Linked DNA regions of Yarrowia lipolytica. The protein of the gene in region 1 purifies or fractionates together with the protein of each later gene. This does not show direct contact. Links are inferred from orthologs where the notes say so. Each region holds a gene or a part of one and is shown on either strand. Other genes may lie near its edges. The genes, in order: YALI1_E22576g, YALI1_B15109g and YALI1_F06991g.

Region 1 (4,008 bases):
AATCTCTTCTCACAACACACACAAAATGGCTGAACAGATCGAGAAAAAGGTTGTGGATCTGCTGGTCGACAACGCCGAGAACGACGCTGCTGACGCCGTTGTCCAGGCCGCCGCCGGTCTGGCTGAGAAGGCCGCCGAGGGCATTGTCAATGCTGTCAAGGGCCCCATTGAGGAGGCCATCGAGGCTCCTGTTGCTGGTGAGGAGAAGGAGTCCAAGGAGGAGTCCAAGGAGGAGTCCAAGGAGGAGTCCAAGGAGGAGTCCAAGGGGGAGTCCAAGGAGGATTTCAAGGAGGAGTCCAAGGAGGCTGCTCCTGCCACCGAGGAGAAGCCTGCTGCCGAGTCCAAGGCTGAGACCAAGGAGGAGCCCAAGACTGAGGAGCCTGCTGCCCCCGCCAAGCCCAAGGAGCCCGTCACCGACGCCGAAGCTCCCATTCTCAAGCAGGTGGAGTTCTACTTCTCCGACCAGAACCTGCCCACCGACAAGTTCCTGTGGAAGGCCGTCCACAGCAACGACGGCTGGGTGCCCATTCACACCATTGCTTCCTTCAAGCGAATGCAGCAGTTTGCCAACCCCGAGGCTGAGGATCCTCTGGCCGTGATTGTCTCTGCTCTGCGAAAGTCGCCCTCTCTTCTGGAGGTGTCTGAGGATGGCACCAAGGTCAAGCGAGTCAAGGCTCTGCAGGCTCCCGATGACAAGTCCAAGGACGAGGCCAACGCCCGAACCGTCTACGCCAAGGGCTTCCTGCCCGAGGACAAGGTCCCCACCAAGGATACCCCTGCCTCCGAGCTTGGCGCCCCCCTGACCCGAGAGGAGGAGCTTGCTCTGCAGATTGAGATTGAGAAGTTCTTCGAGGGCTACGGCAAGATTGTGCAAGTGCGACTCCGACGACGAACCGAGCAGCAGAACCGGTTCAAGGGCTCCGTGTTCGCCGAGTTCGAGAAGCTCGAGGACGCCACCAAGTTCCTGGCCCTTGATCCCAAGCCCACCTTCCAGGGCCGAGAGCTCAAGACCATGTCCAAGCCCGCCTACTGCGAGATGAAGAAGGCCGAGCTGGGCTTCACCGACGGTGCCAACGGCAAGCGGGGTCCCCGAAAGTTCAACGGCTTCAAGGACAATGAGTCCCGAAAGCGAGGCAACGACGACGACGACAACGGAGACAACAAGCGACAGCGAGGTAACCCTCGACGTGGTCGTGGTGGACGAGGTCGAGGCCGAGGCGGCCGAGGCCGAGGAGGACGAGATTAGTGTATTATAGACGATTCTGAATAGAGCAATGATTAACTATGATGTGATGATGTCGGTTTTTGTACACGACGAGTGATTGCGCCCGTGCCATACAACATGTATTCTTACTATATATACTGGTTGCGTGCGAGAAGGTAGAACAGGACGACCATAGTTCTGTCAGATTTCATCAGAAGGGTTCATAATTTGAAACTGAAGGTGACATATTGGAAACTGATGGATTTTGACAAAATCAGCCAAATCGGCCCCTTATCTGTCCATTTCTGGTCGCTGAAAACTCGTACAATACGAGTGCAACCTACTCATACTAAGTTGCAGAACTGTAATATTTCTCCCTGCCGTAAACTCAAAAAACGCGTCGCGAGTTAATTAATCACCAGCGCCAAACCACTTTGATCAGTCTACGATACACAACATGACGCTGTCGGAAAAGTTTGGGGCCGTCTACGACGACAATGAGGAGCTCAAAAAGGAGTGCGCCAACATCATGTCCATCTTCAATCTCTCCGAGGAAGATCTGTTCATCAAATGGGAGTGTTTTGCCATCAACACCAACGGCGACGAAAAGACAGACTTGGACCTGGGCAACCTGTCCAAGCTCAAAACGTATCTGCTGAAGGAGATTGAGAAGGCCAAGAAGGCTAAGACGACAACCCCGCGTCCGAAAATGCGACGAAACCGAGAAGGAGCAGGAGATATGGATCTGTTCGACCAACTGACCCATAGTGCTCTTGGAAGTGCTAAACGAGGACCTGCTGGAGGTGACAACGACCAGACCCCCGTCAAGAAACGTCCCCAGCCCAATGGTACAGGAAATGGACTGTCCATGTCTCCACCTCTGTCTGTGACTCCCATCAGATCAACTCCCCCTCCTCCATCTAACTCCGCCTACTCTTCTCGAAAGGGAGCAGGCACGGTTATGGAGACCCTCAACAGCTCTATCGAGCTAAACCCAGGCCGAGCCGACCCAGAAACCAAGATCGCCATATCAGATCACGTACAATCCGCCAAATACAAGTACAAAACCATGTACCAGAAGGTGTCTGAGGCGTCTGAGACCTTGGACGAACAGATTGAACAATACATGGATTGGTGTGTTCAAAAGGGACTGGTTAAATCGAACGCCGAATTTAAGAACCCTTCTCTCAGTGACCAGAACTCTATTGTTTGTGCCGGTCGAATTGTCCTTGACACTCCTGAAACTGTGAGACTTACAGATGCCTCTGTGTTGCTGGAGACTCCCCGAAGCCGTGGAGGAGCGCTACGAGTGAAGCTCAATCTCTCCTTGCTTCCCTCCGTGTCTCTTATTCCGGGCCAGCTACTTGCGCTCAAGGGTGTCAACTCCAGTGGACGAGAATTTGTGGTGGAAGAGATTCTCAAGCTGGACCCTCCTCCTTTCAGACAGGTGGATAATGTGGCAGAAACCCCTTCTCTGACCCAAATCATCGCCGCAGGCCCTTACACCACAACCAAGGATCTCGACTTCCTGCCTCTCAAGGATCTTCTCGCACAACCAGCAGATACTTTCATTCTCCTGGGTCCATTCATTGACTCAGTGCACCCGCTAGTCGCCCAAGGAAGCTTTTCGGTGCCTGGCAAAATGGTGGCCACCGTGGAAGACCTGTTCAGACACAAAATCGCGCCTCTTCTCAACGCATGCCCCGCACAGATCATTCTCATCCCTTCCACTAGAGACTCAGTGTCGGCCCACCTTGCATTTCCCCAACCGGCTCTGGCTCGAAAGGCGCTCAATTTGGGCAAGAACGTCATCTGCCGAACCAACCCGGCCCAGTTTTCCATCAACGAGCTCATGTTTGGTACTGCCAACCTCGACATTGTGCGAGCTGTCGCCCAGAGTGAACTCAACAAGGGCTCGCAGGAAGATTTCATGTCTCGCGCAGGACGATATGTGGTGGAACAGCGGTCCCTGTACCCTCTATTGCCTGGTCCTCAGGCCAAACAACCCGGCGTGGCTGAGGAGAATCAGACGCTGACGTACCACCATCTGGACAAGGCGTACTTGGGCCTGTGTGACTTTGTGGACGTGTCTCCAGACATTATCATCATGCCCTCGCAGGTGCAAGCGTTTGTTCGGGTGGTGAATTCGATTGTGATTATCAACCCGGGCTATCTCACGCGAATGGACAGTGGAGGATCGTATGCTTTGTTGACATCGGCCCCTTACCAGGGAGGAGACGCCAAAGCATGGGAAAGAGTACGAGTTGACATTAAGAAGATCTAATCGGTCTTAAGGAAGACTGAAGCGGCGATCTGGTCCATTGTATGCCATTGCCAGTATCTGTGAACAGGAGCAAGACATTATATAACGGTTGGAACAGTCGAAATAGCACCTAAAATACAAGTTAATACTAAGAGTGAAGCACTTGTAGCAACGGAGCTTTCCCTACATGTTGGCTTCCTCTGAATCGCACTTCATATTATCCAGTCTCGTGATGTGATATATTATATGAAGATCGATACAGTACATAATCCGGCCATCTTGCTGATATTCTCCTCCAGATGACATCTCATGACACTCAACATGTGCAAACGAGACCACGAAGAGCGCCTCAAGGACCGCGTTGAACGACTAGAGGAGGAGGTGTCTAATACGCAGGACCGGGTTGAAGGTAGCAATGAGCAGCTGAGGCGCGCCTTGCTCACCAAGAAGTTAACCCAGAGCGAGGTGAACGCTCTTCGGCAGTCTCTAGACGAGAACGAGATCAACTTGATCGAGTATCACGAGGAGTTGGTTTCTTGTC
Region 2 (3,926 bases), on another chromosome or scaffold:
CTATTGGCGGTACTCTCGCAGCTACGAGCTATGAGCTCATCAAAAGACACTACATTTTGGAGATTGAGGCTGCTGGTTCTAACCAGGAGACCATCATTGCCATTCCTCAGTTTGTCTTCCCCACCAACTTTTTGTCGGTGACAGTTTCAACTGGATCGTGGAAGACTGCACGAAACCAGCTGTTTTGGAGCCACAACCAAGCAGGCCGTCAGAAGATTGAAATCACTGTACTAGACCACCAGCCCGAGTTTGGAGGATTTCTTGATACTTTCTATTCCAATCTGGCTGAGCCTTGTTGTGTGGTTATGTAAGTAGATGTGGTATCTATCGGTTAGCTAATATTTATTGTGTATTAAAAGAGCGGAGCAGTAGCTACAGTACCACGGGTCTGTATAAGTACGAGTACATGTGTTGGATGTACTGTATAATGGAATGAAACAGTTACAGTATGATGTACTCGCATATGTAAGCTACGATAATATACTATATGCATTTACAGTATAAACTGTTGTCTGGATGTTTGGAAGTTCTACACGTGTGGTCAAAAACACCATTAAATATATTAAACGTTCATTTTCATCATGTTTCCTTGTCTAAAACTCCATCGAACCCACGTTGGCAGCCTTGACTCGCTCAATTTCCTCCTTCAAGAGCGGTTCCACAAAGTTATCAAACACCTCGACGAAGGGCTTGAGTCGAGTCTTATCAGAAGCGTGCTTGGAAACAGTACCTTGAGCATCTCCCTCGTAATTGTTGAAGTCGTCAATAATCTCCTGCAGTTTAGGACAATCCTCTGGGGTGAACAACAACTCATGAGTGTGGCTGTCGACGTCCATGGGCACACAGACGTTGGAGGTCTTTGGGTGGATGCAAAAGGGCGATTTCAGAAGATGGCCTGTTCCTCGAGACACGGCTCCATCGAGCTTTGGCATGAAAACAGTTAGAATCACGTTTTGTTTGGCCTCGACGAGCCTCTTGGTATCCAGGTTCGCAGATACTCCCGAGGAAGCCACCTTGTCGATATCGCTCCACTTGTCTGCCGAGCTAGCAGAGTCTCCGTTCTTCTTCCATTTCTCAGCCAGGGCTCTTCTCAGCTTTTCGTCCGGAATGAACGCCAGCAGGAATTTGGAGCCCTCCTCATTGGCCCAAGGGTCCTGGGTCTGCAGGACAACCTCGTTGAATACGGTGGTGGCGATATCAAGACACCGCTGAAGATGGGGATGCAGGGGACGTCGAAGACTCGAGTTGCCGGCAGCACTCTTGTCTGTAGCGTCTCCAAATGCAGCAATGTAGGAAACAACTGTAGAACGCTGTCTGTCGTTAAGATCACGAGCCTTCTTGTCGCTGACCCACGCATGGGCTCCTCGTCGGCCCGAAAATACCCACATAATGTGTTTGTATCCGAAATCCTCCTTGAGAGCAGAGTTGACCATCTTAACGGCTACCTGCACGTATCTCCAGCACTTGTTGCAGACGGATGCTCCAGAACAACACGTTCGGAATTTGTCGTAATCGTCCATATCAATATCGAAGACGAGCTCCTTAGAGACAGGCTTAAACACGTCCTTTCGCAACTTCTTTCGGTCCTTGGGCGAATGTGAGTAGACCGCTCCGATCTCGAATCGCTCAGGAACAAGATCGTCGACTCGAGACTTGAATTCACGCTCCTCCGCGAATGAGTTGAATCGCAGATACGCACCGTTTCTCAGAGTGAAGGCAAACTCTCGATAAGCAAAGTCTCGTCCATTTCGGGGAGAGTGGTTGAGCCATCGATGAAGCGTCTTGAAGGGAAAGAAACGCGAGTAAAAGAGTCCGAGGCCCTCAAAATCAACCTCGGGGGCGCTAACCGAAGTCTCGGGTTGTCGCGTCTCTGGAATCTCAGGAAGAGGCTCCTCAATTTGTTCCATGACATCGTTCATGATAGCATCATACAGCCCCTGCTGTGGAAGTCGTGGAGAAGATGAAGGTGGCACAGTGATGTCAGTTGGGGGCTCCGCGGTCGATACGGGCGAAGAGGGCTCGGATACTGTCATTTGAGCTGTAGTATATGTTGCGTGGGGTAGGTGTGCCGATTTGAGATGTCAACTGTAGAGGACAAAAAAAATGAAGGTGCAGTACGATGCTAAACGCGTCTCTCCAAGTTGGGAATCAATTTAACTCCACGCGTTGCGAAAGACGTGATTAGAGTTGGGGGGTATTATAAATGACAAATAAGACATGGGGAGATATCCATCATACTGTACATTGAGGATCAAAAAGATATTGCTGATATATACATATACTACTTACTAAAACGGTTATATTTATTATAAAGCTACCGTTGTCTGTAAAAGATGGACTTTTCCAAGGATATTTCCTTCTATTAGGCATAGGGGACTGCGACGAGTGGATGCTGGCTGAGAGTGATCGCATGAAAACAATACTGTGAATGTTCCACTGAGACTAAATGAGAGGGATGCAGGTTTGGTTAATTGCCAGTCCTATTTGTACGGTAAGATGCTTGACTGTTCTCTTCCCTACTGTGTCTATATCTGTGAGGTTCATCCAATCCTATATTCTCAGAGAGCCTTGCAGATGTTCACTCTGCATGAGTCTGTATGGTTTGTCAGTGTCAAGTGTTGCACTATTCTCCCTCTGATAGTGTAAGCATGAATAAAAACAATAGATGGTTACAGATAGTTGTATAATTCTATGAGTGAGCTTGCCAAAGATGCTACTTTCTTTAATAGCATCGTGTGGTTCTGTACAGTGGTCTATGTAACTCCTTGCCCTGTTCACATTGCAACTTCGACACTGGAGCTCGTTATACAACCTACAAGCTCCTCGAGCTCGTGTTGAAGGTATCACATCGATCTCTGCCACACAAATGTCTCTTACAGCGACTGTTCGGACATGACGGAGGGAATAATGAGGTAGCTATCCATGACGCATGACGCCAGCTACAGTACCCACTGTACATACGGTATCATCGGCATAACGTGAGTGATGGCATCGACAGAGATATGACGAGTGATCACTGAAATTTTCAATCCCCATCTTCGCGTCCCTTTACTCCCCGTGTAGCTTCTCGTTTTTGTTTCTCGTTTATATATCCCCTTTGACGTCAGTTGCGCGAAATATTGTTTGAATCGAGATTTGCAACAAAAGTGCCCTGTGGCTTTGAACATAGCCATACCGTACATGATTAAGACAGAAAATGAAACCAAAATACCTGTAAGCATTGAAAACCTGCCCTTTTATTTCCTTTTCCACTATTTGACCAACTGTTCAACCCCAAATAATGTTCAACTAACTCCATTCTTTAGTTATCCAATTTGTTATGAATGTAATTGGGAACAATGGAGACATTTTGTTCTCCGAAAAGTAGAACACCTCAATTAATTACAGCAGCTAGCTAAACTTGTCATTGGATGTCATTATAGACAGACAAGAAATCATTGATATGAACTAATAGGTGGACTAGTTTCACCTCAAATGTGTTATTGCAATCGCTTCAGCATAACCCCTACAATCAGCCTGGTACCACTCAAATCAGCTTACTAATCAGCACACCCAACGACAACAAAGACACACGACTCCAAGCAAGTGTCTCCATCTCAAACAACTATCGTCAATCAATCTTTTGCCCTTATCATTAATCATTGATCAGACCCGGTCATTCCATCCCATTGGACTAAGTACTGGTACCAATAGCACTTCATAACCGCCACCTGCACGTGACGCCACCTAACCTTGCCACCTTGTGTATCTGCATCACTACTGACTCTCTGAGACCCATCCAACACCACACTACACAATCACAAGATGGATATCGTTCTGGGACTGCGAATCAAGGGCGGAGTGCTGGTTGCCACTTCCAAGGCTGCCACCCGAGGTATTTCCGTCATCAAGGTCGGTGACGACAAGACCAGAGAACTCAACCCCAA
Region 3 (3,911 bases), on another chromosome or scaffold:
AAGACGAGAAGAATCAGACTGTTTGGTTTGCCATATATGCAATTTTACATGTCTTTTGGTGTGGCCAAATTATCCCATACAATGTCATCTCCATTGATTTTTTCCAGAAGAGCCCATATGTTGATCTCATCCAGAAAGTCAACTACATTGTCAACAAATGCCACCTTTTTTCCAACTAAATTGTAAACAAAATGCCACATCCCTTCCAACATAAATATGTCTATAATGACGGAATAGGTATACGCAGTTGACAAATTTGTTCATCCCCAGCCACTTTCTACATTGAAAGAAAAAAAGTAGAAATATCGTGTCTACAACATCCCTTCTACCGCGACCCGCGTTTCCCCCTACGACACTTTCTTAACTAATTCTTCAACTATTTCCCCCCACTTATATACTTCGTTTTGAGCAACTATTGTTCGCTGTACGGCGGTTCAGGTTGTTTCCCAGACCCAATTGAGCATTTTCTAGACTCTGTAAATCCCTCCAACTCCACCTGGTAACATTCACGTTCTTGCGCCCCACCATTGCCCACCCTGGCCGTCCTGTCTGATACAACCCCTAGCGTTCATTGTTCATTGTCATTGTCTGCTTTCATTGTCGCTGCTCATCATCAATTGAGACATCCGCTTCTCGTTACACAAATACATTGTCAAACCAATATCTCTGCACCCCGTCGCCCCAGCATTAGTCTGAGAGTATGCATCGAGCCGACGATGCATTCTGTAAGGACTGACGGGTGCATGTTCCGAGGGAAAGTCTGTAGGACTCGGCAAAAAGTTGACATATTTAACCCTGGACTTGAAATCATTACAATCTGATCAGGGAGCTTCAAAATGATACCATTTAGTGCATATCTCAATGCAAAAACAACTACTAGAACCAGAAAAGTTGACTCTGTTTCTAACATGTAGAGTGCCCCACTTGTCTCACAGTAAAAGCCCTCAAAGTGAGAAACGGTAGCAAATTAGCTGTCATTTCAGTACGTACAAACCAGACATTGCCATGCAACACATTTCTACAGCTTTCTTTGTATGTCTTCTACTGACATGTTGCTGCAGGACCTCCTAACCGACATAATTGTTTCCAGTCCAATAACCACTAATCCTGGGAACGCTTGGACTATGCCATTGGAGTCCTCCTACTTCTCTCTTTCGATTAATATACAGCTTTCTCCTATTAATCTCCCATAGTCTTCCACAGTCCTATCATATATGTACAGCACAGTATGTACAAGTAACATATCATATTAGTTTGACAGACAACCACCTAAACATTGGTCAGAAGACATTTTCCACTCGTTAGAAAGTTTTGAAGGAATTAATTGAGCTTTTTCAATCCCACTTTCAAATTCTCGTCTTTTAGGAACCATTTTTCGTTTGTTTTTTTTTTCTTCTTTTTTTTTCAGTCTTTTTTTTTCACTCTCCCTCAAAAGTTACTTGATCCACCAACTAATTCCAACTAAATTAGCATTTCTCAACTAAAAAATATTTTTAAAATCCACAAACCCGACAATCACGTGAGTGGCTCTCGTCACGTGACGTGACTAATTTGATGATACTCTATCCAGCCACTTGATTTGGCTTGACGCGCAATTATTAAAAGAAAGAAAAAAAGTTTTGACGCGACTCTCTCCTTGGTTGAGTTGGAGGTTGCTGTTATATTGCTGAGTAAGCGTCGTAGAGATATCCTGGATATACCATTTTGTAGGGAAACTTTGGAGGAACACTATTATGTTGTGCAAACCTTATTTGAGATGCTTTCCCGCATTTCAAACCCGTATCTCTACCACCCGTGATGAAAGCTTAAAAAACGCGTCTTCCCTTAAAGTACATTTGGTTCCATCACGTCACGTCTCTCACATTTCCTCCTCCTCAACACACAGCACACAAGTCGTCGCATAATGTTCCGAAGCAAACGACGAGCGACCGAACGGAAGAATTGGGGCGTGGCTCCGTCGTCGATGCCTGCAGAAATCATTTACCCCAGCCGAATGTCCTTCTACAACACTCCGCCCAACCTGGGCATTTCGCTGGAGGCGTTCGAAGAATGGGCCATTGACCGGCTCCGGGTGCTGACGAAGCTGCAACAGCTGCAACTGAGCGGAAAGACAGGGCTGAAAGACCTCGATTCGGGCCTGAAGCCGACGCTGGAGAAGTACCTACCCCTGGGCTCAAGCCGAAACGTCTCTGACGAAGTGACACAAAAGCAGCGGCAAAAGGACCACTACTCGCATTTCATTCTGCGGCTGGTATACTGCCGCACTCCAGAGCTGCGCAAGGAGTTTGTGGAGCGCGAAAAGCTGCTGTTTCGGTACAGACTGAGTTTGGAGGAGGGCGGCGAGAGAGACTCGTTTGTCAACTCGCTGGACTTTGAGTGGGAAAAGGTCGACGTGGACGAATTCGAAGATCTGCGGCCGTATCTGGAGACGGTGTCACGTGACAAGGCCGACATTGCGTCGCGTGACTACGTCAAGGTTGACTGGCAGAAGGTGGCCGATCTGGTTGATTCTCGTCGGGTGTTTTTGCGGGCTGGCAAAGTCTATGTTCCTGCTTCGTTGCAGCAGAATCTGGTTGTAAACGAGTTTGAGAGCCGTTTGGCTGTTGCCATGGAGACTGCGGCCATGTTGCTTTCTCGGCTGGATGAGTCGACTCGCCTGATGCCGATTTTGGACCATCTTGCGCAGTTTGGCGTGACCGAGACGTTCCAGAAGAATGAGGCTCTGGATGGCAAAATTGGACCCTCCAACATTGACTCTGTCGTCAAGCACATGCCTCTGTGCATGTCTCAGTTGCACACAACTCTTCGACAGAAGAACCATCTCAAGCACGATGGTCGGTTCCAGTATGGACTGTTTATCAAAGGTCTGGGCTTCTCTGTCGATGAGGCTCTTCAGTTTTGGAGAGAGGCATTCAAGGTGACGGACGACAAGTTCAACAAGGAGTACCAATACAACATTCTGCATAACTACGGTCTCAAGGGTTCGGGCAAGAATTATGCGCCAAAGGACTGCAAGAGTATCATTGCCAACAATCCCCCAGCCAACTCCGAGCTGGTTCACGGCTGTCCTTATCGGTCTTTGCGTCCTGAAGAGTTGGTTGGACGGCTCAAGAATATGGGAATTGAGGACCGCATGGAACTGAACAAGATCACCGACCAGGTGAAGAACACCAACTATCATGGAGCATGTACCCGGGTTCTGGAGCTAACTCATCCGGGTCTCAAGGTGGAGGAGGTGGTCCAGCATCCTAATGACTACTTTCTGAAGGGTTATGGATGGCAGAATGGATTGGAGGTGGCCTACACAAAGTAGGGTGAAACTGGTTGGTCGCAGTACCAGTCAGTGTGTTTGCCCAATACCGGTCTAGACACTCCGGTGACCTACCGTTGATACGACTGTACTTACTGGGTCTACGGAACACTGAGGGCCATTGTGCTCGACTGTTCTGACTCATATATATTTAATTGACTAATTTTACACATGACTTCTCCTTTCAAAATTTGGAGCTATCCTGATGAAGATGCCGCCGATTCCTTATCTACTGTAGCTCTTGGTGTTGCCTGGGTTAGAACCCATACAGAATGCTGGGGAGAGTCGGTATCAACACAGACACTTGGAATTCGACTTTTTCGACCATTAATAGCCCCTGGTTCACCTCTTTCTAGTCGATGTCGCCTCGGCAGGTAGTTCTTTTGTATGACTAATGGCCGTCTCGGTCCACAGCATCCGACGTCTCCAGCTCTCTCAATGTTGGCGTCTGCACGGACTAAGCAGCATTGAAATTATCGAGCAAAATTGATGCTAATAAACGAGCCACAGTACATGTCCGTGAACTATTATAGAGCGACTTTCTCAAAATCCTCAATCTCAAATCCCCAATTACTTGACTTTACTTGGCTTTACTTGACTT

Evidence for each region.
Region 2: the proteins of YALI1_E22576g (region 1) and YALI1_B15109g purify together in Saccharomyces cerevisiae (affinity purification with mass spectrometry, with the first as the bait; 3 studies listed by BioGRID). This does not show direct contact. The link is inferred for Yarrowia lipolytica from reciprocal best matches to the Saccharomyces cerevisiae genes POL12 and PRI1.
Region 3: the proteins of YALI1_E22576g (region 1) and YALI1_F06991g purify together in Saccharomyces cerevisiae (affinity purification with mass spectrometry; 3 studies listed by BioGRID). This does not show direct contact. The link is inferred for Yarrowia lipolytica from reciprocal best matches to the Saccharomyces cerevisiae genes POL12 and PRI2.

Annotation. Positions count from the first base shown.
Region 1 is NC_090774.1:2,255,273-2,259,280, reverse strand, and holds YALI1_E22576g (uncharacterized protein), read left to right. Parts: upstream 1-1,661; coding exon 1,662-3,488; downstream 3,489-4,008. Other genes in the region: YALI1_E22592g (uncharacterized protein), read left to right, coding at 26-1,246; YALI1_E22555g (uncharacterized protein), read left to right, coding at 3,789-4,008. UniProt on the Saccharomyces cerevisiae protein: Non-catalytic component of DNA polymerase alpha, which in a complex with DNA primase (DNA polymerase alpha:primase) constitutes a replicative polymerase.
Region 2 is NC_090771.1:1,509,081-1,513,006, reverse strand, and holds YALI1_B15109g (uncharacterized protein), read right to left. Parts: upstream 2,034-3,926; coding exon 594-2,033; downstream 1-593. Other genes in the region: YALI1_B15151g (uncharacterized protein), read left to right, coding at 1-311; YALI1_B15092g (uncharacterized protein), read left to right, coding at 3,805-3,926. UniProt on the Saccharomyces cerevisiae protein: DNA primase is the polymerase that synthesizes small RNA primers for the Okazaki fragments made during discontinuous DNA replication. In a complex with DNA polymerase alpha (DNA polymerase alpha:primase) constitutes a replicative polymerase.
Region 3 is NC_090775.1:697,227-701,137, forward strand, and holds YALI1_F06991g (uncharacterized protein), read left to right. Parts: upstream 1-1,903; coding exon 1,904-3,313; downstream 3,314-3,911. UniProt on the Saccharomyces cerevisiae protein: DNA primase is the polymerase that synthesizes small RNA primers for the Okazaki fragments made during discontinuous DNA replication. In a complex with DNA polymerase alpha (DNA polymerase alpha:primase) constitutes a replicative polymerase.